Astyanax mexicanus: one gene and its partner. The protein of the gene in region 1 purifies or fractionates together with the protein of each later gene. This does not show direct contact. Links are inferred from orthologs where the notes say so. Each region holds a gene or a part of one and is shown on either strand. Other genes may lie near its edges. The genes, in order: sclt1 and kiz.

Region 1 (16,285 bases):
GCCCAACAGGTCAACACAACATGCCAACACAACAGGTCAACTCATTAAACCAACTGAACACAGCAACCCAACATTCTGATTCAAACGCAGCAACCCAACACCCTGATTAAAACCACAATTTTAATCCAACACACCGACTCACCACCCTGACTCAAAACAGCAATCCACGACCCAACAAATCAACCCAACAGGTCGACTGAACACAGCAACTCAACACACCAACACACGGAAGTAACCCAACACACCAACCCAACAAATCTACCCTTATCTGCAAGATATCATGCGGTCAAACAGCTGAGTGTTTTCGTCAGACGGGAAGTGTGTTTATGCGAGAAGCGTGAGAGAGAGCGCGAGAGCAAAAGCGAGAGGGATTGCATGTCATTGCATGGACTTTGGCCGATATTTACCCCACAAGGTGTCGGGCTGCTTTGGGTTCATGAAGCATTCACACACTGACGCTTGCTGCATCCCGAACAAGAGCGAGAACATGACTCTCTCTCTCGCACTCTCTCGCGCTCTGCCTGGCTCTCACCCTCTCCCTGCTGAAGAAGCCAAAGTAGCTCAAAGGCAAGTTTCGGGAGGAGAACAAAGAGATTGAGCGGATGAATAATTAAACACGAGACTAACACAATACATCCAGCCCCGCCCACTCTCGAACACACCGCCTCGGAACATACACGCTTCAAACGCACACTCGTACACACACATACACTCTCTCTCTCTCTCTCTCTCTCTCTCTCTCTCTCTCTCTCTTTCTTCCTCTCTTCCTTTTCATTCATGCTCTCTTCTCCAGCTTCCTCTAATCCTCCATGTGCCGATTTCTCCGCTGGGCCCGAACGGCGCCGCCAAACAAAACAGTCGGCTCAGAGAAACACGCTGTATGTTCTGATATTTCTGGGCTGCTTTTTTTTTTTGTAATATCACAGGGTTCTTTAAGTGCTACAAAAACACCAGCTAAATATTTTCTCTCTCCCTCTCCCTATCCATCCCTCGCTTCCCCTCGCTCTCTCTTTTTTTTTCCTCTCTCGGCACTGGAGAGAGGTTGAATAGCTGTTGATGAAGCATGCAGAGCAGCTGTATGGCAGCCCCCTGACACCAGACAGGATTTCCCCACCATGTCTTCCTCTTTTCTATTCCTATATCCCCATTCATCCCTCCCTCCCTCCCTCCCCCATTCCTCTCTCGCCCCAGTCTCTCGCTCTCGCCCTCTCTGAGGGAGCGCGATTTTCATCCCTTGTTTATTCAGGCCGTGATATTTCTCCAGCAGGCTCGCTCTCGTCTGTCGAACGGGCAGACAGCCTATCATTACCCCCCTGCGTGCTGTTCCACTCAAATCTGACCCTTTTCACATTTAGCTTCACTTTTTTTTTTCACTTTTACTAATGGTGGTCAACACCTGGAGTCAACACACCAGAGCCAAGCCAATCCAATCCAGTCCAGAGGTGCCAAAACCCAACTCGCCAACCCAACGCTCTGACTCAATCACTCTATTTTACCTATCTATAGCATACAGGTCAATTGCGCAGCTTTTATTTATCATGAGGGTCCAAAAATAAATAAATAAATAAATAAATTACACCTTGCGCAGCTCGAAATGGTGAGCTCTGACTTTGGCACGTTTGTATCTTAACAGCGCGTTGCTTTTGGGTGCCTCAGCAGAATATACAGTGCCATCAGCTCATTTAGGGGAAAAGCAATGTTATTTTATATTCTTTATTCTGTTGTATTGTTGATGCAAAAGCTGGATTTGCACGTTGCAGCACTCTGGTGCAAAAAACTGACTTTTGTTGTATTAAAACCTGATAAAAGTACTTATATTTGATGAATAGCACACCTCCGTTCTCCCACAGCATTCTGAGATCCAGAAACGTGACAACTCAATGGAACGATTTAATATAGTAACCAAATCAATTCAATGAACCGATCCAACCCAATGCATCAAAACAATGCGATGAACTAATCTGCTAATTCAACACAACAACTCAGTGGGCCAACCAAACACTTTGACCCAACATGCCAATCCAATGTGCCATCCCAGTGTGTCAATCCAACATGACAACTCCATGAATTTATCCAACAGGCCAGTCCAATATATAACATGCTGACCTAACACAATGCACCCAATGCACCAACCCAGTCATCACCCTGATGCCAACTCAAGTCAACCCAACCAATGCTCTGATCCATTTTACCAACCCAGCACCCCATTTGAATCAGTCAACCCAATCTTCCCACCCCTCACACTATTTAAACACATACTCCAACACGAATGCGCCAACCCAATCTACCAACCCATCACACCATTAAAAAACACTCCAACCCATTGCACCAACCCAATCTACCAACCTATCACACCATTAAAAAACATACTCCAACCCAAGGCACCAACTCAACGCGCCAACCCAACACACATATCCAATATGCCAACCCAAGAATCTATTTGAATAAGTCAGTGCACCAATCCAACACCTTGACCAAACCGTTACCCTGATGGCAAGTCAAACCAATGCTCTGGTCTAAAGTACCCACCCAGTACAACATTTGAAAGAGTCAACCAACCCAACGCACCAATCAAAACACATACCCCAACCCAACTTGCCAACCCAATGCACTGGACAGAAATCACACATGCCAAACAAATAATTATACAGTCCACTGGTTAAATGAGCACTATGAGCACTAGGGGACCTGCACATGTTAGCTGTGACCTCATCAGTTGTGTTGGGTTGCCAGAAAAAAATTGGTGTACATGTGAAATATACAACATGTGATATGTGGCAGGATGCTCTGAGAGGCCTGTGAAATTCACACCTCCAAATGTGTAAAGAAAGAGTGTTTTCTTGGACATCTGTGTCCTTCAGTCCCAACTCCTCGCTGCACATGCCTGCCTTTAATGTGCCAGATGTCTTCTCGGTCAAACAAACTGGTGCCAACATGATCTCAGACATAGCAGACATACGGCAGATAAAGAGACAATAAATACCTTCATGCTAGATAAAGCACATCCCTGAGAGAATTTTGGGAAACACTATGGAGAAAGTGATAGTGAATTAAAATTGCTTTTTATTACTACTAGAATAATTAGAGATGCCACTCAATATTTGGCAAAGTAATTTGGCAAAAAATAGCATTTAGTGATGCAATGTTGAAACTCAACTTGCCAGTCCAATGCAACAATCCAATATGTCAACTCAACACACAAGCTCATTATATCAACTCAATAAACCAGTCCAACACACAAGCTGACACTCAACCCAAAGCACCAACAAACGCACCTATTCAACACATCAGTTACCACAACACAAAAGAAACCAACTCAACTCAAGAAACCAACTCAACCTGACACAACTCAACAAGCCAACTCAACACATCAAATTCCACAACACACAACAAGCCAAACCAACACAAAGGACTAAAAGACTGGCTAACACCCACATGAGTACCACAATTAAGGGAAATCTATGATTAGAATAGCAGTACTGAGATAAATGTATGAAAGTAATAGCACTACTGAGCTAAGTGTAAAATGTGTCATTAGAATAGCACTACTGAGGGACATCTATGATGAGAATAGCACTCCTGAGGTAACTTTATGATATGAACAGCACTGTTTAGGTAAATGTATGATTAGAATAGCACTCATGAGATTCGTTTGTTATTAGAACAGCACTATAGAGGGGAAATGTAGGATTAAAATAGAACTACTGAGGTAAATGTGTTGCTGCTGGTTTGTGTGCTGGAATAATAAAAAGGTTATAAATATTTTTGGATTCTGGTCTTGTAATAGCTTTTTTCTTTGAAAACATTTAGAGTACTTTATTTATTCAGAGGTGAAAAAATGGTCAAATGAGTAAAAACCTGTGAAACAATGTTTTCGGTATTCTGTATTTGACTTTCATTCAAAAGGTTTAATTTTGTTCTATTCTGGATTCCGTCAAACAAAAATATAAAACAAATCATTTGGTGCATTTCCATATCCAGGAATATAAACAGCTGTAATTCAGTGAGATAAAGCGATGCTGCGCTAAAGAGAACAGGGCGTCTCGAACAGGAATAAGCTTCATTAAAGCTTTATATAAAGAATCTGCTGTAATAAAGTAGGAGCACAGTGTGGCCAGAGATGAACTAATGAGGCCACATTCCACACTTCCCAGTATTTCACTGCGTTCTTTTTATTCCCTTTAAAATGTATTTTTACACAGCCATTTATTTTCTTCATTAGACTTTAAGGCTGGATTGCAGTATGTGTACAGTACGCGTGACCTCTGTTCTGATTGGCTGTTCTGTATGGTACTCGTTAAAAAGCAGTGTAGGGTAAAATACTCCGTTAACGTGAATGAGCGGAGCCATGGACATGATTTATTACTCCCACACACACAGTTATTTTCAGTGTAGATATTAAATAATAATAATAATAATAATAATAATAATAATAATAATAATGCATAGCGGTTTTAATACTTAAATACTTCAGCTTTCTCTTTTGATGCCTACATTCATTTATTTTATGACTTAACTCGTTCTGTTTTGGTGGGATAACGTTTAGCGCATCATTCTAGCTTCTACAGAAGCAACGACAGACAGCTAGATGTGGGAATCTTGACGCTAAATGAAGCCGCGCCTGCATTTTCCATCTATAATAATATTTTATAAGTTCTAAGTGCACTTTATAATTCTCTCTTTTAAATAATAATATATTCCGTTTTAAGTATATTCTAAAATTCTCCTTCAAATAATATATTCAGTTTAAAGTATATTTTAAAATTCTCTCTTTCAAATAATATATTTAGTTTTAAGTCAAATTTATAATTCTCCTTTTAAAATATATATTTTTTTAGTTTTAAGTTTATTTTATCATTCTCTCTGTCAAACATATTTCGTTTTAACACTTTTTTGTAATTCTCCCTTTTAAATATTTTTTAGTTTTAGGTCAATTTTATAATTCTGCCTTTCAAATAATATATTTAGTTTTAAGTCTTTTATAATTGTCCCTTTCAAATAATATTTTTAGTTTTAAGTCTTTTATAATTCTCTCTTTCAAATAATATTTTTAGTTTTAAGTCAAATTTAATATTCTCTGTTTCAAATAATATTTTTATTTTTAAGTCAATTTTATAATTCTGCCTTTCAAATAATATATTTAGTTTTAAGTCTTTTATAATTGTCCCTTTCAAATAATATATTTAGTTTTAAGTCTTTTATAATTGTCTCTTTCAAATAATATTTTTAGTTTTAAGTCAAATTTAATATTCTGTTTCAAATAATATTTTTATTTTTAAGTCTATTTTATAATTCTCCCTTTCAAATATATTTCGTTTTAAGCCTTTCATAATTCCCCCTTTTAAATATTTTTTTTAGTTCTAAGCCTTTTTTATAATTCTCCTTTTTAAATAATGTTTTTAGTTTTAAGTCTATTTTATAATTCTCCCTTTCACATAGATTTCGTTTTAGGTATGCTTTATAATTCCCCCTTTCAAATAACATTAATTAGTTAATTTTATAATTCTCCTTTTCAATTAAAATAGTTAGTTTAGTTTTAAGTCTATTTTATAATTCTCCTTTTCAAATATATTTTGTTTTTTGGTATATTTTATCATTCTCCCTTTCGAATAACATTTTTAGTTCAAAGTTAATTTTATAATTCTGCCTTTCAAATAACATATTTAGGTTTTAAGTCTATTTTATAATTCTCCTGTTTAAATATATTTCGTTTTAGGCCTTTTTTATATTTCTCCCTTTCAAATAATATTTTTAGTTTTAAGTCTATTCTATAATTCTGCCTTTCAAATAATATGTTTAGTTTTAAGTTCATTTTATAATTCTCATAAAATCCAGGCCGACCAACCCGACCTGAGCCCTTGAACTTTCTGCCCGAGATTCGACCCGCCCCATAAACTGTCATAATGAGCCCGAGGTGGAAAAGTAATCCAAATATGACACTGGTAAAAATCTAAAGTAAGTTCAGCTGCTGATCCGTTCTTATAATTTTAATCCGTTTTTATGAGTTTACTCTGTACATGATTCGTTTCTTTTTTATTTAGGCCATTCTGGTTAAAAATTATTTCTTTCTGTTGGGATCATTTGTCTTGTTTTATTTGTTAACTGTGGCAGCTAACGTTTAACATTTACAGCAGCAGTGCTTTCTTTGTTTGGTTTCCTCCCCAAAAAACAGTTTATTTACTTTGGGATATTTGCATTTTTTTTGTAATATATTTTTTTGTTGTTGTTGTTTTTCTATTTGTCTTTAGACATTCGTTAGATTACATTTTTCTTAGTATTTTGGGTTCAGTTTAGTTTCTTTTTTTTTTCTTTTGAGTTTTTTTATTCTAAAAAAAAAAGTCAGTTTGAGTTTTGAGTTTATTTTGTGCAGGAATGTCCTTTATTTTTATTAGTTTTGGTTGTTTGTTTAATGTTGTTTCTTCCTGTTTGGAATTGTCTTGTTTTATTTACTAATTGTGGTGTCAGCTAATAGCTTGTTGTGGCTGAGGGGAAATGTCTAAATTCGCATCTAATTCACATCTAAGAAACGTTTAAACTCTTAAATTCACCTTCACATTACACAAATAGAATTAGCAGCTCAGACACAATCAACCCAGCTGGCACGGCGGCCTAAAAAAACTTTAATAACTCACCCATCAGAAAATTAGTTGAAAATGAAGTCCATTCTCATGTCCTTTTGGAAAAAATGGTTGTTAGCAGCGTCATGCAACTGGTCCTTTGCTTTTAAACCCATTAACAGTTCTTTCTCCATGGAAATTAAGGCCAAACGTCTGTCAACTTCTTGTTAAAAGTTAATCTAGAAAACGGCTTGGATAACAAATTTGCAGAGCTGTCCTCCTGTACAGCGGTAGTGCTGGCATCCGCTTCCATCATGACTCAACAAATTAGCTAAAGCTAGCTAACTAACTAGCCTGGCCACCGCAGCTGGGAAATTATGATACAGTTTAAAGCCCGCCCACTTAGTGGGAAGATATTATTGGTCAATTTTACTGTCATTTAAAACGTTTTCACGCAAGGAGGAGGGGCCAAGTTCCGGGAGAGGCGATGGGTAAACCTATTTCCGGTTTGGAGCCCCTCTACGAAAATGGATGAGTTTTTATTTATTTTTAATTTTATATTTTTCATTAGTTATACAAATAGGTAAAGAGATAGATTAAAAGAGTAAACAAGAAGTAACAGCAACATATTAGCGATGTCAAAGATAAGTAAATAAAGAAAGGAAGAAAGAAAAAAGAAAAAAAAGAAAAGCCAGAGGAATTGCCAAAATAATCTAAAAAAAGAAAACATCCCATAGTCATCTCATCCTTTGAAAAGATTGTAAAAATAACGAACAGCCACCAGAATTTCTCAAATTATCTTTTCTTATTATTTATTTAATATTCAGTATTATTTAAATTAAATTGTAATGCTTTAAAACATTTAAGGATCTACCCATTTTTTTATTCAATGAGGGGCCCATTGACTTAATTGTTTGCAAATATATTAAAAAAAAAATCTTTTTAGTTTTTAGCTTTATGTATGTAATATTTTGCTAATATTATAATAAGGTTGATAATAAATGTTTCATTGCAATGAAATAGAGGGTTATTAAAAGTATAAAGAATATAGTGACTTTCAAGGGGAATGTCTTTACCAATTTTCTTCCCTAAATTCCAAAATATATCTACCCAAAAAGAGTAGGTAAAAACACAATAAAAAAATAAACAGTCAAATCTCACTATAGTTTTTACAGATGCTGCAATTTTCAGAGATGGAAACAAATGGACTTACTCTAGCATTAACTGGGTAACATTTGTGTACACTATCTTAAAAATAACATCTTTTATTTTGTTGTTAATAAAATATTTATGTGGCAAAGCCCAAATCAAATGCCCCCTAAACGTTGAAAATATATGTAGTAGTGTTTAAATAACACGTCTTTTGGATTCAATATTTAATATGTTGGTTATTAAATTTAGTATCTAATATATCAATCCCTTCATGGGTTTTTATTATTCCTCATCTTTTTCTGCACTTTAGACAGGATAATGTTGCCAGAACCGTCGAGGACCTATAGAGGAACAAACAAGCAAAACCCCATAAGGGATATAAGTTAATTTCTTTTTCGAGCAGTTTATTTTTGATTATGAATTGAATTTATTGATTTTTTTTGTGTTCAGAGTCCACTGTTGTAGATAAGGAGATCCTGTAATGGCCAGGTGCTACCGGTGTTCTGTCCATTTGTGCTACCCATCCGATATATGCTTCTTACCACAAACAGTGTCCGCACAGACCTATGTTTTTTTTTTTCTCACATTTTTATGTTTTTTCAGTTTCATCAGCTCCACAAAGTGCAGACTGCATTGTTTTAAGTATAAAGTTTGGCTGAGGGGGGATTATGAGTATGATAAAAATTCGACAAAAGTTCACGCTCGTCATTCATGTTTCACTACTACGCACCAAGTCTGTTTCACACTGTATTTCTCCTTTAATGGTTAAAATGTAGCGATAGATGGGGCGCCGAGTGGTCCAGCGGTCTAAAGCGCTGCCACTATGAGCGGGAGGTCGCAGGTTCAAACCCCCTCTCATGCAGCTTTTCCATCAAGCTGCCGGCGCTCAGAGGGAGCAAGATTGGCCCTGCTCCCTCCGGGTGGGTACAGTAGATGGCGCTCTCTCCCCACATCACTTCTAGGGTGATGTCTGCAGCACAAGGCGTCTGTGAGCTGATGTATCGAAACCAAGCCACTGCGCTTTCCTCCAAGCGTTAGCGCTGTGATGCTGCTCGGTAATGCTGCATCAGCAGCAGCTCGACTTCACATGTATCGGAGGAAGCATGTGTTAGTCTTTTTCACCCTCCTGGTGTGTTGGGGCATCACTAGTGATAGGGGTGGGTAATTTCCCCTGTAAATTGGGGAGAAAATGGGAAAAATTAGAAATAAAATTATAAAAAAAAAAGATAGATGAATTCCCACTCCAGCCACAATAGAGCAACTAAAGCACCTGTGATGTTGCGAAGACGGGTTCAGAGAGCTTTTGAGCACTTGAAGGAGAAATTAGTCTAAATCAATAGATGGAAAATGATGGATCTCAGCCTCAAATTCTCGAAAGTTCCCAAACGACCGCTGAAAAACGGAAACCGCAACAAAGAAGAGCTGCGAAAAAGAATGTACTGAATCGCAGCTCGAGTCATTAAAACAACTTAGATTTCCAAGGTTTTCCATGCTTTGCTTACTGCAGAAAGAGACCAAAGAAAGGGAAAAAAAAGAACAAAACGTGGAGAAGAGAAAAAAAAAAAAAAAAACGAGACAGAGAGGAAGGCCAAATCCAAAGGAGACTAATTTGCTGGTGGGCTGCTTCTTTAAGGGAGTCAGAGTTATGATTTATAGAGACCATTACGGTGAAGGACAAACAAACAGGGTTATTAGAGCAGATATCAGAGCCGTGTGGACAGCTAAAGGCTAACACCGGCCACCCAGCAGAGGGGAGGGGAAGGCGAGAAAAAGAGAGAGAGAGAGAGAAAAGGAAAGAAAAGAAAGAGAGAGAAACTCTCTCTAACTATTTATTTCTGTAAAGGCCTTGGATTTGGAAGTGTGTTCCTGCACTTTCTGAATGTTTTGCCACGAAGAAAAACTCGAAAAGAAGAAACTCCAAAGTCCAAACTGAGTACGAACAACAATAATAAACTCATACTTCGATAAATAAAGTAGAACTGGTAATAGATTCTCCATAATTCATAGAGGGTTATAAATAATTCATAGATCATAGCATCCGTGTCTTTATGGAGCTTGCTTTGTGCATTGGTGCGCAGTCATGATAGAACAGGAAGGGGTCGTCCCCAAAGTGTTTCCGCAAAGTTAGGAGCATGAAAGGGTCTGAAATATTTTTTCTTTGAGATGATGAAGGAAAGAATTAAATTTTTCTTTCGCTGCAACAAAGAAGCTGAGCCCAACTCCTCGAAAACAACCCTACACTATAATAATGATCCCCCCCCAGCCAAACTTTATACTTCAAATGCTCAACGCAGTGCAGTGTAATACACCACATTGGCACTAATGGTCAAATTTAAATCATTTAACTAAGATATATATGTAATGCCATCTAGTGGCTTTTTTTGGTAGCAGCAGTGTGCACGATTAAAACAGCGATGTGCAACATAACAAAATAAATAATAAATAAATAAAAATACAGGAACAGTCATGTACAAAATAATAGAACAATTAGAGCCTTAACAAACTGAACTCTTTCCTACTATAACAGTTAATCATGAAAAATAAGACTTTAAGACTTTTTCTTTAATAAAGATATATTATTAACTTTATCTGAGAGGAAGATTCTCTTTAAGGTACCAAAACTATTAACATATTTGAGGCTAGACAAAACAACTGTTATTTTTATATTTTAAAGTTTTTCTTTAAGAAGTTGAGAATGTCCACATTCTCTGGAGAAAGAGCTGCTCTTTGAGCAGTCACAATATCTGCGGCGTCAGCTACAGTGTGCTGCTCCATTTGCGTAGCATGCTGCGCCATTTGCGTAGCGCACATGCTAGTGTAGCTTAAAGGGAAGGATCATCAATCCTCTTTTTTTGACTTCGAGGTTCGAGACTATGACATAATTTCAATGACGCCCCTAGTTACGATATAACTGACAGTTGACTGTGGAATATTTAGTAGTGAGGAAATTTCACAATTGGACTACAGCTGTACAGGTTCCTATTTGTAGAAGCAGCATGTCTAGATCCTTGGTTTTTACACCAATGTCCATGGAAATGATTGAAACACCTAAATTTAATGATCTGGAAGGATGATATAGTGAACTTTAAAGGGCCACACTGGTGAAAGTTTGCACAAAACCCTTTCGAGGATTCTCCCCTGAAGTGTTATCGTCATGTTTTACCTCACTCCTGCTTTAGCTACAGCTACAATAGAGCCCGAGGACATACAAACTGAACATTAGCTTCGAAATAAGTGAATTTAATCCATTAATAAGCAAATGCGTTTTATATATTAGTTCAGCTGATTAAACCATCGTCAACCCTTAATGACAGGGGAGTGGGTGATGAATAATGCATGAGCTATTTATGCATGTCTCCGCATAAATAACCCAATCATTATTAACGCTAGCCAGGCAGCAAGGTTAACGAAGGCACGAAACACATACATATGTAAGTTATGGAAATGAAATTAGGGCAAAAATGATTGTCTGACAGCGCTGATGATGGATAAAAAGCCTTTTAACCTCAGAGAATGAATTAAAAAAATAGATCTAAAATTAAACACTTTTGATTTAGACATATACGTATTAAATTTATCCCTTTATATGGGTTTAAAAGATATACAGTGATGTGAAAAAGTATTTGCCTCTCTTTCCTTTGGGTATTTTTAATCATACTTACGTTTCACAGATTAACAAGCACATTTTAATATATAAAAAAAAAAAAACACTTTTGGCCCTGTTTGAAGGGTCAATTAATTTAACACGAATTAAATGAGATTAACCACATTTATTGGAAAACTGAGTCCAATTTCAGTAATCACACCTGTAGAGTCAGCTTATAAACCAAAACCTACGACTGCTTATGAAATGAGTGCAACGTCAAACCGTTTGAGAAGATCGTTGGTTCGAATCCCCGTCATGCAGCTTGCCATCAGCTGCCAGAGCCCCAAGAGAGGGCACAATTGGCCCTGCTTTCTCTCTGGGTGGGTACAGTAGATGGCGCTCTTTCCCCTCATCACTCCAAAGGGTGATGTCCATTAGCGCAAGGTGTCTGTGAGCTGATGTGTCGGAACCGAGTCGCTGCGCTTTCCTCCAAATGTTCGAAAAAAGAGGCGGAGTCTGACTTCACATGTGTCGGAGGAGGCGTGTGCTTTGATTTTAGCAAATTGAAAACCTCTGGAATATAATCAAGAGGAAGATGGATGACCACAAGCTGATCATCAAACCAAACTGAGCTGCTTGAATTTTTGCACCAGGAGTGTAAAGCATAAAGTTATCCAAAAGCAGTGTGTAAGACTGGTGGAAGAGAGAACATGATGCCAAGATGCATGAAAAAAAAAAAACAGTGATTAAAAACCAGATCTGAACTCTTAAAACTTTATGAACTTGTTTTTCTTTGCATTATTTGTTATTTGTTATCTCATTTTCTAAATAAATAAATTACTGCCAGACCTGTAGAATCAAGAAATGACTTAAATAGAACCTGTCTGACAACATGAAGCAGATAAAAGATCTCAAAAAGTCATTGGTCATCTATCAGAGTCTGGAAAAGGTTATAAAGTCGTTTCTAAAGGCTTTGGGACTCCAGTGAACCACAGTGATTCACTATTATTCAATTATTCGCTAATAGAGCAAACAGGAATGGAACACTGGTGAACCTTCCCAGGAGTGACCGGCCGACCTAAAGAAATTACTCCAAAAGGGCATGAACAACTCATCCAGGAGGTCCCAAAAGCCAGAACCCAGAACAACATTTATAAAGAACTGCGGGTCTGACTTAAGGTCTCAGTTAAGGTCAGTGTTTTAATGATGCAATAATAAGAAATAATAAGAGACTGGGTGAAAATGGCCCATATATCTACAGTATGTATAATAGATGTATAAAATATGGAACACATAAGGGCTTAGTATGATCACACATGTTGACACTGTATGCAACAGGTGTGTGTGTGTGTGTGTGTGTGTGTGTGTGTGGTGGAAGGTGGGAGGCTGAGAGAGATGTGTGTTTTTCTGTGAGTTCTGTGTTTTGCTCGTTTCTCAGCACAGTGTGAAGTGTGTTCTGTTACTCTCTGTGGGCTCCAGTAAAATAATACACTGTCGTTTTTTTTTCTTTCTCTCTGTTGGGAAAAATGAATACTTATTCAGTGTGTGTGTGTGTGTGTGTGTGTGTGTGTGTGTAAAATGGTAAAATGAGTCACTCTCTCTTTCTCTCTCTCTCTCTCTCTCTCTCTCTTTCTCTCTCTCGCTGTGTCTGTGGTGTAAAATGGTCGAGCGGGAGCTGCCACTCAGCAGGTTGCTTAGAGACTGGAAGCAGCATTAAAGAAAATAACAGCAGAGGAACGACAGAAACTAGTGGAGAGAGAGAGAGAGAGAGAGTTTTGGGAGAAACACAGAAGAAAGAAAGAAAGAAAGAAGGAAAGAAAGAAAGAAAGAAAAAAAGAATTAGAATGGTTTAACTGCTGTAGGCTGAATAAATGGGTGGTGCTAAAATGCTGTAGCTCAACAGGTGGCACTAAAGTGTGGTATGATAAATGGGTGGAGCTATAAACTGCTGTAGGCTGAATAAATGGGTGGAGCTATAAACTGATGTAGGCTGAATAAATGGGCGGAGCTATAAATTGCTGTAGGCTGAATAAATGGGTGGAGCGATAAACTGATGTAGGCTGAATAAATGGGTGGAGCTATAAATTGCTGTAGGCTGAATAAATGGGTGGAGCGATAAACTGATGTAGGCTGAATAAATGGGTGGAGCTATAAACTGCTGTAGGCTAAATAAATGGGTGGAGCTATAAACTGCTGTAAGATTAATTGTTTGAGCTATAAACTGCTGTAGGCTGAATAAATGGGTGGAGTTATAAACTGCTGTAGGCTGAATGAATGGGTGGAGCTATAAACTGATGTAGGATGAATAAATGGGAGGAGCTATAAACTGCTGTAGGCTGAATAAATGGGTGGAGCTATAAACTGATGTAGGATGAATAAATGGGAGGAGCTATAAACTGATGTAGGATGAATAAATGGGAGGAGCTATAAACTGCTGTAGGATGAATAAATGGGAGGAGCTATAAACTGCTGTAGGATGAATAAATGGGAGGAGCTATAAACTGCTGTAGGATGAATAAATGGGTGGAGCTATAAACTGATGTAGGCTAAATAAATGGGTGGAGCTATAAACTGCTGTAAGATGAATTGTTTGAGCTATAAACTGCTGTAGACTGAATAAATGGGTGGAGCTATAAACTGATGTAGGATGAATAAATGGGTGGAGCTATAAACTGCTGTAGGATGAATAAATGGGTGGAGCTATAAACTGCTGTAGGATGAATAAATGGGTGGAGCTATAAACTGCTGTAGGATGAATGGTTAGGAAACAGGTTTTAAACCCATTTTCTTTGCTACTTTTCTCCCTTTTATGTTAAATAAAGTTGTTTTTGATGATATAGGGTGTTTAAGATCACGTCTTCGTCACTTCATTGACTCCCAGCTGATCAAACAGAGCAGAATCTGTTCTCTTGTGTGTTTCTGTGTGTAACCAATTATACTGTCTCTCCTCAGTAAGAGACTGAAACTGAGCCAAATCCCCCTCTCGCTGTGGCGCTAGCTCCGACAGCTGGGACCCGTCACTCTACAGGGCGCTCTCCATGCACCGCTCAGATGTTTAGGGTGTGTGAAGCAGCAGATCTGATGGTGTACAGGTTGAAAAACACAGTTAAATTAAAATAACTGTTCAGTAGTAACAATCACAGCTATAGCGAAACATTAGATTCTGCCAAAAAGGCCATAAAGGTCCGTCCCTTACTGCCCTTTAACATTTGGGTAGTGCACCTCCTGGTGAGAGACCACTGACTGCGAGACTCGCCTCTACAGGCATTTGGAGAAGAATAAGAGAATTAAGGAAGTTCTGAAACAGAAAGAAAAAGAAGGAGAGAGAGAAAAGCAGAAAGAATAAGAGGGAAAAAAAGAAATAAGCTGAATTTAAAACATAGAGAAACATGGAGAAATATCTAAAAATAATCAAGGGACATCAAAGAAAAAGGAAAAAGAAAAATGAAGAGGAACAGAAGATGAATAAGAGACAAACAAGGGAATGAGAAACAAGAGGAGGAATAGAGTAATTAAGATTAACAAAGAAAAGAAGCTGAAAATGTAAGAGATAAAAGAAAAAGAAGTAGAAAAAGAACACAAATGAGTAAAAAAAAGGAGAGAGAGAAGCAGAACAAATAAGAGGGGGAAAAAAAAGAAATGAGCTGAATTAAAAAGAGAACATGGAGAAATATCTAAAAATAATCAAGAGGGACATCAAAGAAAACGAGAAGAAGAGAAAAAACAGAGAAACATGAAGAAAAAGAGAAGAGTGGAAATAGACATGAGGAAAAATAGGAAAAAGAAAAATGAAGAGGAACAGAAGATGAAAGAGAGACAAAAAAGGAATAAGACACAAGAGGGGGAATAGAGAAATTGAGATGAACAAAGAAAAGAAGCTGAAAATGTAAGAGATAAAAGAAAAAGAAGAAGAAAAAAGAAAATTGAGTAGAAGAAGGAGTTGTAAATTGAGGAATTGGAAAAGGAAAAGAAGGAGAAGCTGAAAAGAGATAAAAGGGGGAAAAAGGAACAATGATTAAGACTCAAAAGTAGGAGGGGAAAAGGGTAAAAAAAGAAGAAGAAATAAAGACATGAAGAAGAGGAGGGGAGAGAAAGTGAAAAAAGGAAAAAAAGAAAGAGTAGATGCAGATAAATGAATGTACAGAATGAGAAAAATTAGAAGGAAATGACACAGAAGGAAAAATGCAATGAGAATCTGACAGAGAAGAGAAGGAGAATAAAATAAAAAAGAAAGAAAGAAAGGAGTAAGAAGAAAAAGAAGGAACAATCAGGAGGGAAGGAACAAGAAGAAAGAGAAAGAGAATGAGAAGGAGATGCTAAACAATAAAGAAAATGCATAAAAAGGAAAAGGAGAAACTTAAAGAATGAGAAAGAAAAAAGGATGAGAAGACAGAGGATAAGAGAAATTAGAAGAAGAAGAAGAAGAAGAAGAAGAAGAAGAAGAAAATGTAGAAGGAGAAAATTAGGGAGAATATGAAAACACACTGTAAAAAGTGAAGCATGGAGCTGTTCATTCAAGCTAATAAATATGATTGAACACATAGTACAATTATTGACTTTATTGTGAAACTCAACCTTTTTGAATTTTGATGTGTCAATTTTGATTCAGACTAAATTAATTACAATTCTGAAGGAAATAAACCAAATGTTTTGGTTCCACTGAAATCATACTCGAAGAAAAGAGATAAGGATGTAATATTTTTAATTTGAATCAAACATGAAGTGCGCATGCGCACTGTGGAGCACGGGAGAAGTTGTAGAGAAGTGCTTCAGAGCACTGAGGGAGAGAGGGAGAAAGTGCCTGAACGCGCTCGCGAGAGAGAGAATTAGAGAGGGAGAAAGTGCCTGAACGCGCTCGCGAGAGAGAGAATGAGAGAGGGAGAAAGTGCCTGAACGCGCTCGCGAGATAGCAACGCATGCTTATGGTATTGTGGCGTCGGGACTGGAGGGGGGGCGGAAGGAATTATGGGAGCTCACCCTGTTGGGGGAA
Region 2 (15,427 bases), on another chromosome or scaffold:
CTTTGCTCCCAAGCTCTGATTCATGTCTGCCATGGCACTACGGCGTGGTGGAGGGGAAAGAAAAAAAAATTCTCCACACACAAAATAACAAAAAGCAAGGCTTCTGTTTCTTTTCTGATAAGGGTCTTAAATACCAAACAGTTAGCTGCTTAATAACATCCACTGTAAACCGCGCTGCCTGCCTGGCAGATCCAGCGCAGAGGTAGGGGGGGAATGAAGTGAGAGGGAGGAAGAGAGAGGGAGTGAGAGAGAGAAGGAGAGAGGGAGGAAAAGTTAATTTCTTGGCTGAGTGATTCCATCGCTAGCTGCGGGGCAAAGTAGAAAGTGTTTCGCTAAAGTAGCAATTGATTCTTCTATCAATCTGCGGCACGCGCCTGCTCTTCCAAGGAATGTATTAAATATGAAAATCATATCCCGTTATCATGGCTTCCCAGCTTTCAGGCCGGTAAGCTCCCCTTAATGAATGCTGCAGCCTCGGGGACATGCACGCAGCCAGCAGTGGCGCGTATGCATAATGGAGTGATTCCTCCCATCTCTGCTCATTACAATATCGCCAGGCTGGAGGGAGGGAAGGAGAGAGACAGAAGGGTTTGTGTGTGTGTGTGTGTGTGTGTGTGTGTGTGTGTGCGTGTGTGTGTTTGAATGGGGGGGGGGGACACACAGTCACAAGTGACTGCTCAAGACAGCATGCTCCAAGTCATTATGAGCTGTCTTCCACATTTCATCTGAAAGCGCTCAAACCGCTTGAAGTGAGGGAAAGAAGCAGCCACAGGCTTGAACTACATCGGTGGCACGGTCATAGCGGGCCGGATTAGACACCTGCGCCATCACAGATATGGCAACGAAAAATGGACAGTCCCCCCGGCCCCACCCCACCAACGCTGAGCTGTCTAAATAATGGCTACTTCTGTTTTTCATCAAAAAACACCAAAGAATTGTTTCATTTGTTATGGACACCACACACCACATCAATAACCGCTGTTTATAGAAATAGTGGTATTAAAAAATAGACTGTAAAAAAACTAAATAGCACAATGGTCTTGGTATGACAGATAGCGGACACAAGTTTACATTTTACATTTACATTTTAATAGAGCTTCATAAAATTTACTTCTGTTGTCCAAGAATGCAAACAGAAGTATAGTTTTATTTTACTGGATATTTTTTAAATATTAAAAAAAAAACATAAAAAATTATGGCCTCCCATCTTCAGGAAAAGTTCTGACTATTTTTGGTCAGTAAATATGAAGCTTTTTAAAATGCTGTCATCACAGTGCATGCATTTTTTCTGCCTAAATCTCAAATCCATTCAAACACCCAATATTCTGAAATACATGTCATCAAAACTACAACATTGAGGCACAGATAGCACTAGATTGCATTATAGATTTACACACATTTTGTATTATACTTTGTGGTTGGTGTGGTGCAGTGGATAACACCACCAACTGCTTGTGAGCTACCTCATCATGTGAGAGGCTGGGGTTAAATTCCTGGTCTGGGTGGCTATACTGTGATACATCAATAAGAGTCCCTGGGCAAGACTCCTAACACTACATTGGTCCACCTCTGTAATAGAAATAACCATGTAAGTCGGCTAAAATGCCATATATGTTATTATACATTTTAAAAAGTGGGCAATGGGATAACACACTATTATGTTTTCTTTTTTCTTGCATGATGTTTTGATGTCTCTCTTTTTATAAGGTACTATACCCATACCAGGTTAGCATGTTCATGTAAGCTTTTAACATCTCTGTGTAGACAGACACAATTTCAAAAAGAGGGAGAAAAATATTTCTATATGGATGTAGCCTTAAAAAGTCATGTCAATATTTTTTGCTAGTCAAGAAAAACAAACAACCGACTAAACAAACCTCCTCTCCTGTTTTTCCCTTTTTTCTAGGACTACAGATTAAAATGTACACATATCTCTGCTGATAATACCAGGCAAATAACAACAGTGTACGGTGGTCAGGGTTAAATGACATGCGAAACTAGAAAAAGTTCCAGAGAAGATCACTCTTTTTTTTTTTTCCTCTTTTCAAGAGCTTCATAAAAACCCCTATACCATAATTTGGTTTAAAGACTTGGATGGTCCTTTATTAAAGCAAAAGAGCCATTTGAAGTTGTGAGCAAAACAGTAATTACCTCAAGCACTTCCCAAATTGCTTTTGATTATAAATTAATTGTAGTCTTTGAACACTGATACCCCATATAAACTGTAAAAAGTGTCTACTGAAGAAGAAAAAGAAGAGGAGGAATTGCGCAGAATAATGGATTTGCGAGTCTATTTCTCTCTCTAACTGTCATTTCTCTTCTTTGAAAAGTGAAACGGTACACTTTATATTGGATCCCATCATAAGATCATGGTTTCATCAAAGGCGGAGAGATAGCTTTGTAAATTTCCACCAAATTGTAATCCCAAAAGATGACATGATAAATCTGTCGTACTTTGTGTGCTTCGAGTTCCTGCTTGCTCGCCGTCTTCCTCTGCTCCTCCACGAGTCTGGTAATGTGATTTCTACAATCCATCTGAAAAGAAAAAAAAAATCTATCAAATCTTCTATTACCCAAAAAATCCTCAACTTTTTCAACTCATTAATAAGAAAAAACTCTTGCAAAGATTACATTCACACAGCTGATAAAAGTGGTCCAAGTCAAATATCTTTGTCATAAGTGACACATACGTGTTGCCTGTGTGAGAGCGTGAACAGCAAAACCACATTAAAAAGGATATTTTAAATTCTGATTTGGGCCACTTCATACGTGGTATTGAAATTTGATATATATCCAACACGTGACAGTGTGAATCAGTCTGAACAGCCAGATCGGAATTCACGCCACCTTTATTTAAAAATCTAATTAATAATAAGGAGAAATAGAAATGGATGTTAGCAGTGAGGGTGAGATGATGAGGTAACAGACCTCCTTAAATGTTAAAGGTGAGGTTTCTGTTCAAACTAATTTAAAAAGGTACACATCACAACTGCTGCAAGTTTGAACAAAGTTTAAAGAAACCATGGATGCAAACCAAGGAAACTGCTGCTGTTTTTTACAGCAAGCTTGTACACATTCTCTTTGATAAGCTCAGCTGTCAGCCAGTGGAACTCCGTGATAGCTGCTGTAAGGCTGGTGAAGGTGAATGTGAAGAACTGATCTATTTTGCATGCAGATCAGTTAAGGTGTGTGAAGTGTTCAGATGACAAAATCAGATTTATGTCTCTTTACCTGCTGTGTGAACATAGCCCAAGTCTTATTCAAAATCACCTACAAAAGCAATGCAATGGCAACTGCTTTTACAGAACTCTGAAATAACATTCCAGGCTTTGGATTACCATACTACAATGCTTTGAATGTGCAGGATGTTCCTTTTTAACTACAGAGAATTCTTAAAACCAAACAGAGGGAGGGAGGAAGTGTAAACAGTGAACTTGAGGAAAAGAGGAGGGGAAAGAGAGGCTTATGTTTATCCCTGAAAATGTAGTGTCCCTCACTGTGGGTATTCCCCTCTGAGTGCCCTTAACACTGCCTGCCAGGGCTCTTAATCAATTTTGTGGTTAGCCAGACTGACTGGACTAATCCAAACTTCAATTAAACAGTCTAATGGCAGCAGTGAGGGCACTGGGATTACCTCCAGCCACCCACTTCATTCCCCTAAGACAATAGAAGCTCCACCAAACGGAACAGTTTGCTTGCTAAGCACAAATCCGTTATCTATTTGCAATGGTTTCCAAACACATAATTACAACCGTAGTGTACATACTATTATAATTACACTGACAAATATTGGAACTGCAGAAACAGAGAGAACGGGAAAGTGTCAGAGGCTGTCTGGTTGTGTATATGTCAGTTATATTAGCGGTCTCCTATCTTTGCAATAGACTGAATCTTTGCAATTTAGCTTTTGTTACTTCATTTTACGTTGGTGATATTCTTAGCTTACTTGTTAGCAACTAGCAATTTCTACACCCATATTAATAACATTAAACAGTGTTTAAATATACAATACATTCATTAATTAGAGAATAAACAAATATAATAAAATGATAATGAGTCCAAACAATAAAAATGAAGAGAGACAGAGAGAAAGAGAGTCACAGACTGTCTCCTTTCAGGGAGGGAGAAAGCCAGAGGTACTTCAGTGTCTCAATAGTGGGCAATTAATTTGGGGTAGTGTAATTAAACAAATTGGCAAATTTGATATTAAGCTGTTGAGCACTGTTCAGTTTTAAGTGATAATCGACCACAGCCATTGTTTTCTTTTTCTCATTTCCTTGCAGTGATAAATGGCACTGTTAGAGTGTTTACAATTGTTACTAAACAAAAATGAGAGTAAACGCTCAAACAGCAGATGAGAATTAGACAATGATATGGGATTATAGGCAGCAGGCTAATTGAAGCTTACAGTGTGTGAGAAAATCGCAAATTTCTTGCTTTCAGAGCAATTAGTTGCTGTGACACATTAGGCTAAATCAGTTACGGTCTCATTAGGACCACAAACACACACACATAAACACACACACACACACACACACACATACATACACAGCACAAGGCATTATAATAAATAAGGGGGTGAGAAAGATGATGCTGCTGAAAGCACTGTTTGAAAGCCTGCTTAAGAAAATAATTCAAACATCATCTTCTGGAGGCCAGCATGTCAGCACAAAACAGAAATAGCAATCCAAGGCTTTTACCTTCAAGTGATGCAGTAAAGTGTAGTCAATGGAAAATTCTTTTGCATTTGATACCAGGCTCTCGACATTTCTCAGGAGCTCAAGGTTGCGAGCCTTTGCTTGCTGCTCCCTCTTACACAGTTCCTTGTGATAGTAGCGCATCTTGGCACATTTCAATTTGGCTCTGTAAAAACAAACATAAAGACATTAAAGAATCCCATTACTTAGAGTTGGATATAGCGTACACCCTGTATGTTATCATCTAAAGAAAAAAAAAAGTATCTACATTTTTGTCCATTTTTAGTTTACAACCTAATGTGTCAAATTTGTGTCTTAATACAAAAACAATAGACATTCTCCAAAATTACTTGAAATACATTCTTCTTACACTGACTTCCACTGAAAGTTGAGAAGGTTTCATCTCTCTCCTGTAAAGTTGTTGTTTTGGAGATACATTTCTTTCATTGGACAGTGATGATGTGTATATTCAGGTATTATATATGAACATATACACTTAAGCAAGGATGTTCAATCACAGATGGTCAGTGTCAAACCTTGTATAAGCAATACTGAAGCTAAAATTGTGGTCAAGTTAGAGACAGACAAAAATATCTGATAATGGTGCTTGGTGCATTTGTTAATTGGCACTCCAGAGCGAAAATGTTTTGCGATTTAAAAAAAAAAGGCCAACAAGGAAAATTGCAGGTAAACTCTGAATCTGAATCATAAAGGCTGATCCACTAACCTTTTACATTTTTCCTGCCCTAACATCCTCATAAAATGTTTGTTTGCATCCATGAATTTGGCGGGGCCATATAAAAACAAATAGGTCTCCGGCACTTGAGTTAAGTGCCATCATATCACCCGTGAGAGAGAAGAGGCTATATTTTAGAGAGTCATCTAATTGTCCTAAAACAAAAGTTTCGAGGTGAAGTCCCATTCAAACAATGTACCTTATGAAAAGTGGATCAGGGCAAAAGATAGGGAACAGTTCATTTAAGAGAACAGCTATTGTTAAGAAAGAACAGTTTTCAGTTTTCTACAGAGATTAGCCTAAATTAAACTGCATTGAAAGTAATGTCATATTAATAACCCTATATAGATAAGATTGTTTGCTTGGTATGTAGGATCATACAGTACATAATGATATAGTTTAAATAATACACACTGCCTGGCCAAAAACAAGCTAATTCACTGTGGCATCGTTTCCACAAGCCTCTGCAATGTCACAACATTTATTTCTGTGTCTAATTCATTTTCCCCAATATTATCCACTGATAAGGATATATGTGGACCACTGTGCAAAGTCTTTTTCAGCACACCCCAAAGATTCTCAATGGAGTTCAGGTCTGGACTCCAGAGTCCATGTATGAAAATTATATCTCATGCTCCCTGAAACTAACTTTTGCAGTTTGAGCCTGACGAATCCTGGCATTGTCATAGTGGAATATTCCTGTCCCATCAGGGTAGAAAAAATCCATTGATGAAATAACCTAGTCATTCAGTGTACTCAGGTAGTCAGCTAACCTCATTCTTTGGGCAAAAGTACAATCTTTTTGTCTCCTACCCTACTGAAGCCATTTTTACTGTTCCCATCAATGGTAAGTCTTAAGGCTACTCCGCTGTGTAATCCCAATCCCTTGAGTTCCCTTCACATTGTGGGAGTGGAAATGCTTTTACCTTTACTATTAAACATAAATTTAGATTCTAGTGTTGTTTTTCTATTATTTGTTTTCACCAAAAGGTGATGGCCAAACACAATCATTTAATATTTTCTCCTGACCACATTATTTCTTCAAAGATGATGTTTCCCCACTGTCATTACAATTTTTAACCTGATTTTAGTAGTTTCAGCAATCTAACGAGATTTTTCTCTGTTTGGTGCATGTCAATAATTTGACTCTTCTGAAACAGATTAACATTTCTGATTTTGATAGCCACAGGATGTCTCCTTGTTTATGGATGTGTGCTTATTACTCCCTAGATCAGATAGAGTTAAACACAATAACTTGTTGCCAGCTAAAACATAAATTACCAATGGGGTGCTTATACCTAGTTGCTTTGTTAAATACAGGTTGGGACCTTTTATTTTGGACAGGCAGTGTATTCAACATATATAGTTAACTCTTGTTAATAAAACAGCTATACAGGAACTTAGTAAGAAGATAACGTTAAAACATAAAACAAATTTAACCCTGCACAACCTAAACACACACGAAACAACACACATAAGTGAAGTAGGATACTTACAGTCTATCTTCTGATCGTGTATAGGTAAACAATTGTTCCTCCAACTCATGCCTCCTTTTTTCCCTGAAATGGAAAGACTTTATGTTTAAAAATAACTCAAATATCTTACACAGACCAATTTCATATCACGGGTTTGCATGAAAAAAATCTCTAACCGGACGCAGTGCAACGCTGGTCTCCGAAAACGATTCAATTAGTTAGCTAACTAATCAAATTCACGAACCTATATTAACCACGAATCATAACTCACAATGCTGCTCTAGCTGTTAAAATATAGCGGTGGGGTTTTAACAGCAGATGTCGTATTATATAACAGTTAACTTAGTTAGCTCAGTTAGCTAGCTATATTCATTTAAAAACGTGTCCAAAGAAATAAACAAAAAAAGCTAACTAGTTAACTAACTAGGTTACCTAGATAACTTTACTCACTTAACTTACCGTCCCGCTTTGCTTATTGCGCTAGCCCCAACTCCAGCCGCCCGGTGAATGGGATGTGACTAAAATAAACCAGGCAGGACGTTAACTAGCTAACGTAGCGTGCTTGCTAGCTTAAGTATCTGGGTAATATTAATACATATAATTACAACAGTAAACATGACGTTAAAAAGACCTAATGCATAACGTAGCCAACTTGAAGTAACCGGCACTAGCAGCACTTTGTTCAACGTCGTTTCCACAGAGGCGCTTCTCAGTGAAAGCTGCAATAGCATTAGCATTAGCTTCTTGCTAACGCTTGTTAGGCTAAAGAGTATAAGCACCACAGAAGAGCAGACATGCGCGGGCAGTGCGGTCTATAGCGGCGCAGCTCTGGACTCAAACCCGCGGCTTCATACCAGGCCCTAGCGCCCCCTCTATATCAAGGCTTTGCTTGAGGATATAGTATAAATATCGCGTCCTACCTTTCATGTATGCCCTTTTGAATAGATCCCACTGTGTCGAAGTACTCGGCACTGCAAAAAGCCATTGAATATTATTAGCTGGTCCCCCGTCTGTGTCTCGCACAGCGCCAGGACCGTGTTTACGCTCGTTGCCATGCGCACCACTTCCCAGATGGCCTGGGTTGTAAACAAGTAGACACGCTGTGGCCACGAGCAAGCGAGCGCGCGCACTGCACTGCCAGTTCACGTGCACGAGATTTCTTCAGGCTAGGATGAGGAAAAACGCTCAGTTTGTTTTTATATAAGGATTTAAAATGTGTTATTTTGCTTTTGTGCACTTTTAGCTGTTACTATACAAACGTACAAACATTGGGTAAGTAGACTTTTGGGTAGAAACAAACCCCTCACACAGTTTGTCTCGTGTAAAGAGACAAAAACCCTCTTTAGCATAGTATTGACCTCATTGCCGATTTGTTTACTACTTCATATCTTACCTATCTTTTAAAATGTTTTTTTTTGTTTATTTATTTGTGTTGTATTTTTATATAATGTTAAAGGGCATATCTACGAACTTTACAATGACACATACAAGAGCGTCATAAATAAAAGTTACCGTGTATATGTGCAAGAATCTAATATGTGCATCTGTTCTAATTGATCACTTTGTTATAAAAGGGCAAACCAAAAAGTTATATTTTATGTACTCACACAGACTCCAAAGCTTTCAAAAATTATATTTTTCTTTTCAATACGTATAATATAATGAGGGTTATAAAAGTGAGGGTTAAAAGTGCATAACTTTATTTTTTTCCCCATTTTGATGTTAAGGCATGAGATTGTTTTTTTCCAGATAAAAAACAAATAAAAAGACACGTTTAGGTATTATCACACGTGAACATGTTTTAAATAAACAAAATAAACATGTAAATAGTGTGCGCACGCAGGCATTGCCTAACTGTGAGCGCGCGCACTGCACTGCGCAGTTCACGTGAACACAGTCTACACAGTTTCAGCCAACGCCCGTTTCCCGAATTTAATTAACGGTTATTTATTTACAACAATAAAGAACTAGCTAACGTAACGTTCTCCCTATGAAGAGTACTTTTCTGCCTTCGTCCACACACACAGTTTGATCTGTAAAAATACAAACAGTATCCCGCTTTTGAGATTTTGTTTACAATGCCTTGAGATTACATTTGGGTGACTGTTCTGAATAAATGTACATTTAGCTTTCAGCCAGATTTTAACAGCATGTGTAGCATGTATGAGACTTTAGCTGAGAGTAATATGGAGTCGCTCCATATTACAGTAATAGTGCACCTTATTTTATGTCAGCCATTTTGTAGTGCAGTTCGAAATATAGTCTTATTTTATTCCCTGTTTGGCTCAGAAGTATTTTTATTTGGTTTTCCAAATACACTTAAATACATTGTATGTGTTATAATTAAGCACAGGGTGTGATACACATACAAAAAAAACTGACAAGTACCAAAAGAAAAAAAAATCTCTAAATAGTTCACTATAAAACATCCACAGTGCATCGCAAAATGCAGTGTACAGATGATTTCCAATATATAATATAATTCAATGCGGTGGTGTGTCAGACATCCTTAGAAAAGTACAAATTAATTTTTTTTGTCCCTCTGTCCCTAGAGAGTTAGCTATATAGCAAATGCTATATAGTGAATATTCGGTGGCTTAGTGTTTAGCACCTTCGCTTACCAGCACTGGGGTACTGGATTCAGGTCCCTAACTGGATGGAGTTTCCATGTTCTCCCCCTGTCTGCGTGGGTTTCCTCTGGGATTCCGGAGCCCAAAAACAGAAATATCAGGTAAATGAAATACTCTAAATTGCCCAGAAAATTGGTGTGTAAATGTATGTGAATGTGTGTGACTGTATGCCCAGATATGGATTGGCACTCTGTGCTGGGTGAACTCTTCAGTGCCAGATGCAGTCCTTCAGGTGGATGGTCGCTCCGGTTGAGAGTATACTATGTGCGATTGGCTGCCGCTCCTCACTGGTGTGTGTTGAGTGTGTGTGGAATGCAATTTTAAGTGGCAGAAAGGTACAATGTAAGTGTAAGAGTAAGTAAGTAAGAATAATATTGAATGAGTTCATGAGTGTACCATTCCAAACACTTTTGAACACACAAGCTTTTGAATACCAAAGTCATGTTTCTCCATGCCCTCTGGTCATCACTCGACCTCTTGTTAACATATCTCTTCACATAGCTGAGCAAGAAACTGCTACAGCTCGCTTGGCCAACACAGATCCTTTGCCCTCACAGAGATGGATAAACTTTGTTTCTTTTGGTCCCTGCTTGAGTCTATAGAGCCCTGAGTTTGTCAAGGGGTGTTGGACAACCTTCTTAAAGATGTGTTGGAGGCTCTACTACATGACTGCCTTCATGACTTTGTTGGTACTCTTCATCCACTACTTCCTAACCACTCTGTCTGTCAAGAGGCATGAAATAGAATGCTAGCTAGCTACGCATGTACCTGCAGATATATGATGCATTATCACTGCTAAATTCTATCCTCACTCAGGCAGACCTTTGTTGAGAAATGGTCTCAAGGTAAAGTAAAGTGTGCACAACCTTTTTTTTTATATAACCACGGGGCATGGTGTCACCAGGAACATTACTGGTATTCAAAGTCTCTCAAACATGCAAGGGGTTGATACTTAGCTGCTTAGCTGCTCTGGTGGCCATCTGGCATTGTGGATTTGACAAAGTAGTGAAGATTTTTGCCATGTTTTGTGTACTCCTTATGTGTAAATGAAGAGTGCATCACATAAACAATCCACAAGCTGTACACAAATCTTCAAACCAGTCGGTGCAACTGATTTTCTGTATTTCATGTCTAAAAGTTCATTGTTTGTACTAATGACTGTAGAAAATCCCTGTAGATCATGGTGCATTGTTGAATTGTTAAAGTGAATCAAATAAATGAATCGAATGTGAAGAGCGTGCTCAAATATGCTATTCAGTTATTATTTATAAAAAAGCATAGAACGGTCTGTGAAAAAAAAATTAATTATTTTCCACCAGCTGTGTTAACAGTGGGTGCTCTTCTTTTGTAACTCCATAGGTATTGGAGCTGTACAGAAACTGATGCCTCAGCTTGCCTGATGTATAGAGCTCTACTTCAGGAGTTCCATTTCATCATATCCTTTTCCAATCATCTGCCCTGTAAGCCACTCTGAGAGCCCATCCACACACTCTCCTTCGTGACCCCAGGTCCAGCCAGCAGGTAAACATCCCGATTTTCTTGAAGTCATGGCAGAGAAAAATAACTTGCTGAAGAGACTACTGACCCTCATCAAACAGAATGACCACTGATTTCTGTCTCACATATCTACAGTGCAAAGGAAAAACGGAATGTTCCAGGCGCTCGTTTGGCTTTTCTATCAGAACACAGGCAAGTAACCATGAGTTCGATGCTCAGTGCATGAAGGTAAGTGTCTCTCAAGTCGATAGAGGTGAGTGAGGGGCATTGACAGGGATACAGAGGTGACACTATTGGCTGCCAATTGTGATTCGGTTTAGGTAGTAATCTTCCGGATTTTCACAGTTTCACCAAGATGAGATAGATAGAATTTGAACCCACTTACTGTAAATTGCTCTCCTATTCTAGCAACTAATAATATATGGTTGCAGCTTCTTCCATTTCCCAGCCAGCCTGTGTTACTACACTACACTGAAATCACCATTCCCGGGTTACTGTTGCCATTTACTCGAGTAGTAATGAAAAGAGGAGCGTTTTAAAGAAAGTGATGGACCATGTTGTCCAGTTTAACAGAATCTTCCAATATGTTCCCACATTTGGTGTAAAGCTGACTGTCATCTAAGGTTTTTCTTGAATTATCTAAAATATGGAACCTGCATAATTACAGCAGTTTTAAGTACTTGAAACAGAAAGCTGTTGTGAAATGGACTTGTGGTGTAAGGAAACCTGGTAGGAAACTACCCGTGTAGTGCAGGGAAAATATTTGTCCTGTAGTAACAGACTGATGTTAGTTTAATCTATTCTCTCAACCTATTCTCAGTACGCAGCTATTTAAGTTAACAGAAAAATATAAAGTACCTGAATAACAATGTTAAATAAAACATGATTTAGTAAGAGCAGCAGTGCAGAAATTACTTTTAACATGGCGTGATGAAGAGGAAGATAAAGCACTTACACAACAGAGGGAAATTAATACTCCTTACTTTCAGGATATGATAAATTATCTTGTGTGTTAAAGAAGTATTACAAATTGTATAGTGATGTACTCAAAATGTTGCTTAATGCTTCTTTTTTTAGACATACAATTCTAAGAAAATCTGGTATAGAACTAATGCATTATATCAGATTGTTAAGATATTTTTTACAGTGATATTGTATTTACACCTTTAGCACTACTTTCCAAATAATAAAATGCAAAGTTTTTGCTGAAAACACCATTTATGAGGCTTTTAAATATTTAGTTGAACAAGATGACCCACTTAAATAAAGTTTTGATATATGCACAGATTATACAGCAAATAGATGTTGCAGAAGATCCATACCTTGCCTTTATATAAATTTGGGGGTCTGGTTAACTAGTTGCTTCTATGGGATTATTGGACAGTGTTTTCTCTGAATCTTGTTGTATTTTGACAGCTGATGGCCCCGATGTTTTGTGTATTCTGTCTTATAGCTGAGGTGATCTATTCCGATCCCCTCCCGGTGTACGCTCTAACCAAGCAATTTCCCCAATTCCAGCCCCATCAAATTGCTCTTTAGCTGGTGAAGCAGGGAGTTTTGCTGTGCTTTTCACATGCTAATATCTTCCATTCAGGGTCACTCTGTGAGGCTGTTTGTTGGCTAATAAATCCTCTTGTTTGCTTCCTGCATGTATAATTGATATTGTTGCACGGCTCTTTGTTTGCAGTGGAAGGCTGAAAGGCACTATTTTGGAGGTGATAACAGTAAGATTTGAAACACTGTTCTGCCCGTGAGAGCCAACACAGCTTCCACTGAGATCCAAAGTAATCAGTCCTTCACAAATGTGTCACTCACTAATAACCACAAATCACTTTTAACACAGGAGCAGTTCAGATATTGCTCATCATAAGGATGAAGCATTAAAACAAAATACTTGAGTTGAGAAAGGCTGGCATTAACAGAGAAATGTAGAAATGTTGACATTGCCGTAAAGCAGTCCTCAGGTTTGTTTTATAATGGCAGACATTATGAGTTGAGAAATGGATTTGCTATTATTTTATGGCAGTTATTATAATTCCGAAAATAAGTGCACGGCTACCTGCCTTCTTTTTCTTTTGTACCAGATTTTTTACAAAAGAGACATATAATAACTCATCTTATAGTTTTTCAGTTATAGACAATGTACCAAATCCATTGTACATTTGTACATTTTTAAGTCTGATTTTGTGAGGTGTGCTTTTATATAGCTTTTTTAATCAGTTTTGAGATTATTGCTCTACTGTTGTACTATTTTGGGGAATGCCCCAAAGAACAAATTTACTGTTGTATTTACCTACACTAGTTTACTTTTTCTTTTCTTTTCATCCCTTGTTACCCCTCATTCATTTCCATTCATTTTATTTCTACCAATCTCCACTTTGTCCAACAGCCATTAAACTGCATGTACTCAATCAGTGCAGGTCCCCAAGCTCTGATCAACAGCCATTTTGTTGTTTTTTATTATTCTGCTTTGCTACCCTTGTATGTTTTCAGGAAATGCAATTTTCTAATTATTTTTACCTTTAACCATCATCAGCAATATTTTTTTTACCATCATTATTATAGGTATTATAGGCAGACCTCCTTTCTGGTTTGGTGACTTTTTTTAAATAATTAATAATTGGTAAGTTAATAGTTTATGTTAAGTTGATGCAGAGCTTTACAACATGACCCTATACGATTAATTTTAAGTTACAATGTACATTTAAGAATAATGATTGTTTACTTGTTAGTTGTTATTATTGTTGTTATTATTGTTATGAATCCTATTATCAGAATAATAATAATAGATTGGATTTCTTTCTATTATTAAAGAAGGATATATAAAACCACTGCTGCTGCTATACACCTAATTTATTATTATTTTTTTTTCATTTTGTTCAATCACAAATTATAAATGCATTGAATTCAGAGTTTCACATGCATGGAAAAATATACTCCATTTTCATGTATTTGAATCACTACAATTTGTCCATATTTTGTCATTTCCCCTCGTTTCCTGGTGCGTGTCGTCCCTCAGATACTGTATGTAGGGTAATTGATATGCCTTAACAGAGGTCAAAATTTGCATGTGAATTAACAGCAGTAAACTGAATTGATATTCCAGGCACATCACAAATGATTCCTTCAGACCTTTGTTTCTGTGCCTGGGAGAACCAGGAGCAGTCAGAAACATCTGTCTGTTCAATAATTTGATAAACAGCTTATACAAATAGACTGTGAATTGTCCCTGCTGAAGGCTCTGTTTTCTCTCCTGTGTAGAGTCAGGAACCCTTTGGCTCAGTTGAATGCCTCGCTTGGTTTTATCTACCTTCAGTTCCCATTTTTCTGTCCTGACGTTGATTCTCCTAGCTGTCACTCCTGATCACTTTTCGCACAATTTGGAGCAACTTGAAAGGCATGTCCAGGAGTGAATTTAACCTGGATTTCTTTGTATGAAATAGGAAAGGCACATTGTGTTCTATTGTGAATGAGCACAATATGGGCTGTGCTATAGATTTTCCCATTGTTCACTCGATGTCTGCTTCTTTGCAGTGGAAAAATGGCTTCATTGGTAAATAGTGGATGTAAGGACATGCGCTTTTTTTTTGTAAGCCCACAATAAGATCGTTCCTTTTTTTCCTCCCCTGTATCTGAGTAAATTGTCTGCATGAGGCTCAGGAGAGTCCCAGAGCAATTACAAATGGGGTGAATTAATTTTTAGTCTGAATGTATTCTACATCAGAGTATAAAAGCTTTCAAGTTCTCTGTGTTAATTCAATGGTCACTTGTTTTATAATAGGAGTATGCCATCAGGAAAGTGAATTTGACCAAGCTTTTATCATTGTTCCAGCAAATGGACACTTATGGATGGCATCATTGAGGTATCATTTTGACACAAGTATATCAAAAAGGTTGAACGTTCAATTTGCAAGTAATGATCTGAATTCTTAATACATAAACATCTAAAATATGCCATTATAAAATTTTGAAGAGAGCTGTTATTTTAATAATAGCAAGCCTTGGCAATGTTAATTGGGTAGAAGAGCCACAGTTAAATATGTGTATAATCTTTAAGATGCTTTCTAAAGAAGATAAATTACCTGCACTGAATGTTTTGTGGATGTTTCCTGTGTTCACAGCGCTTTGTTATATGAATTTCTTTACATAATGATCAATAATGTATATGCAGGAAAAAATGCTTGTGTGCGTTTTTGTGCTCATTGTATTCTTTTATGTGCCTGTCTGTGGTTATGTGTGCATATGAGAGACAGAGATAAATAGAGAAAAAAGAGAGTGAGGGAGAGTCAGAGAGGGAGAGAGGGAGAAGCAATTAGTGAAGTGCTGTCAAGTGGATAAAAAGGTGCAAAACCCTCCCTTTTTTAAATTTGTGTTAGAAACGTTAATAAAGTA

The links.
Region 2: the proteins of sclt1 (region 1) and kiz purify together in Homo sapiens (co-immunoprecipitation; 3 studies listed by BioGRID and IntAct, counting the BioPlex papers as one, with this or other methods). This does not show direct contact. The link is inferred for Astyanax mexicanus from reciprocal best matches to the Homo sapiens genes SCLT1 and KIZ.

The regions. Positions count from the first base shown.
Region 1 is NC_064432.1:5,075,249-5,091,533, reverse strand, and holds the start of sclt1 (sodium channel and clathrin linker 1), read right to left. Parts: upstream 6,887-16,285; 5' UTR 6,633-6,886; intron 1-6,632. UniProt on the Homo sapiens protein: Adapter protein that links SCN10A to clathrin. Regulates SCN10A channel activity, possibly by promoting channel internalization.
Region 2 is NC_064421.1:20,951,788-20,967,214, reverse strand, and holds the start of kiz (centrosomal protein kizuna), read right to left. Parts: upstream 8,008-15,427; 5' UTR 7,894-8,007; coding exon 7,829-7,893; intron 7,654-7,828; exon of another isoform or gene 7,368-7,653; intron 6,993-7,367; coding exon 6,930-6,992; intron 4,864-6,929; coding exon 4,701-4,863; intron 2,536-4,700; coding exon 2,455-2,535; intron 1-2,454. UniProt on the Homo sapiens protein: Centrosomal protein required for establishing a robust mitotic centrosome architecture that can endure the forces that converge on the centrosomes during spindle formation. Required for stabilizing the expanded pericentriolar material around the centriole.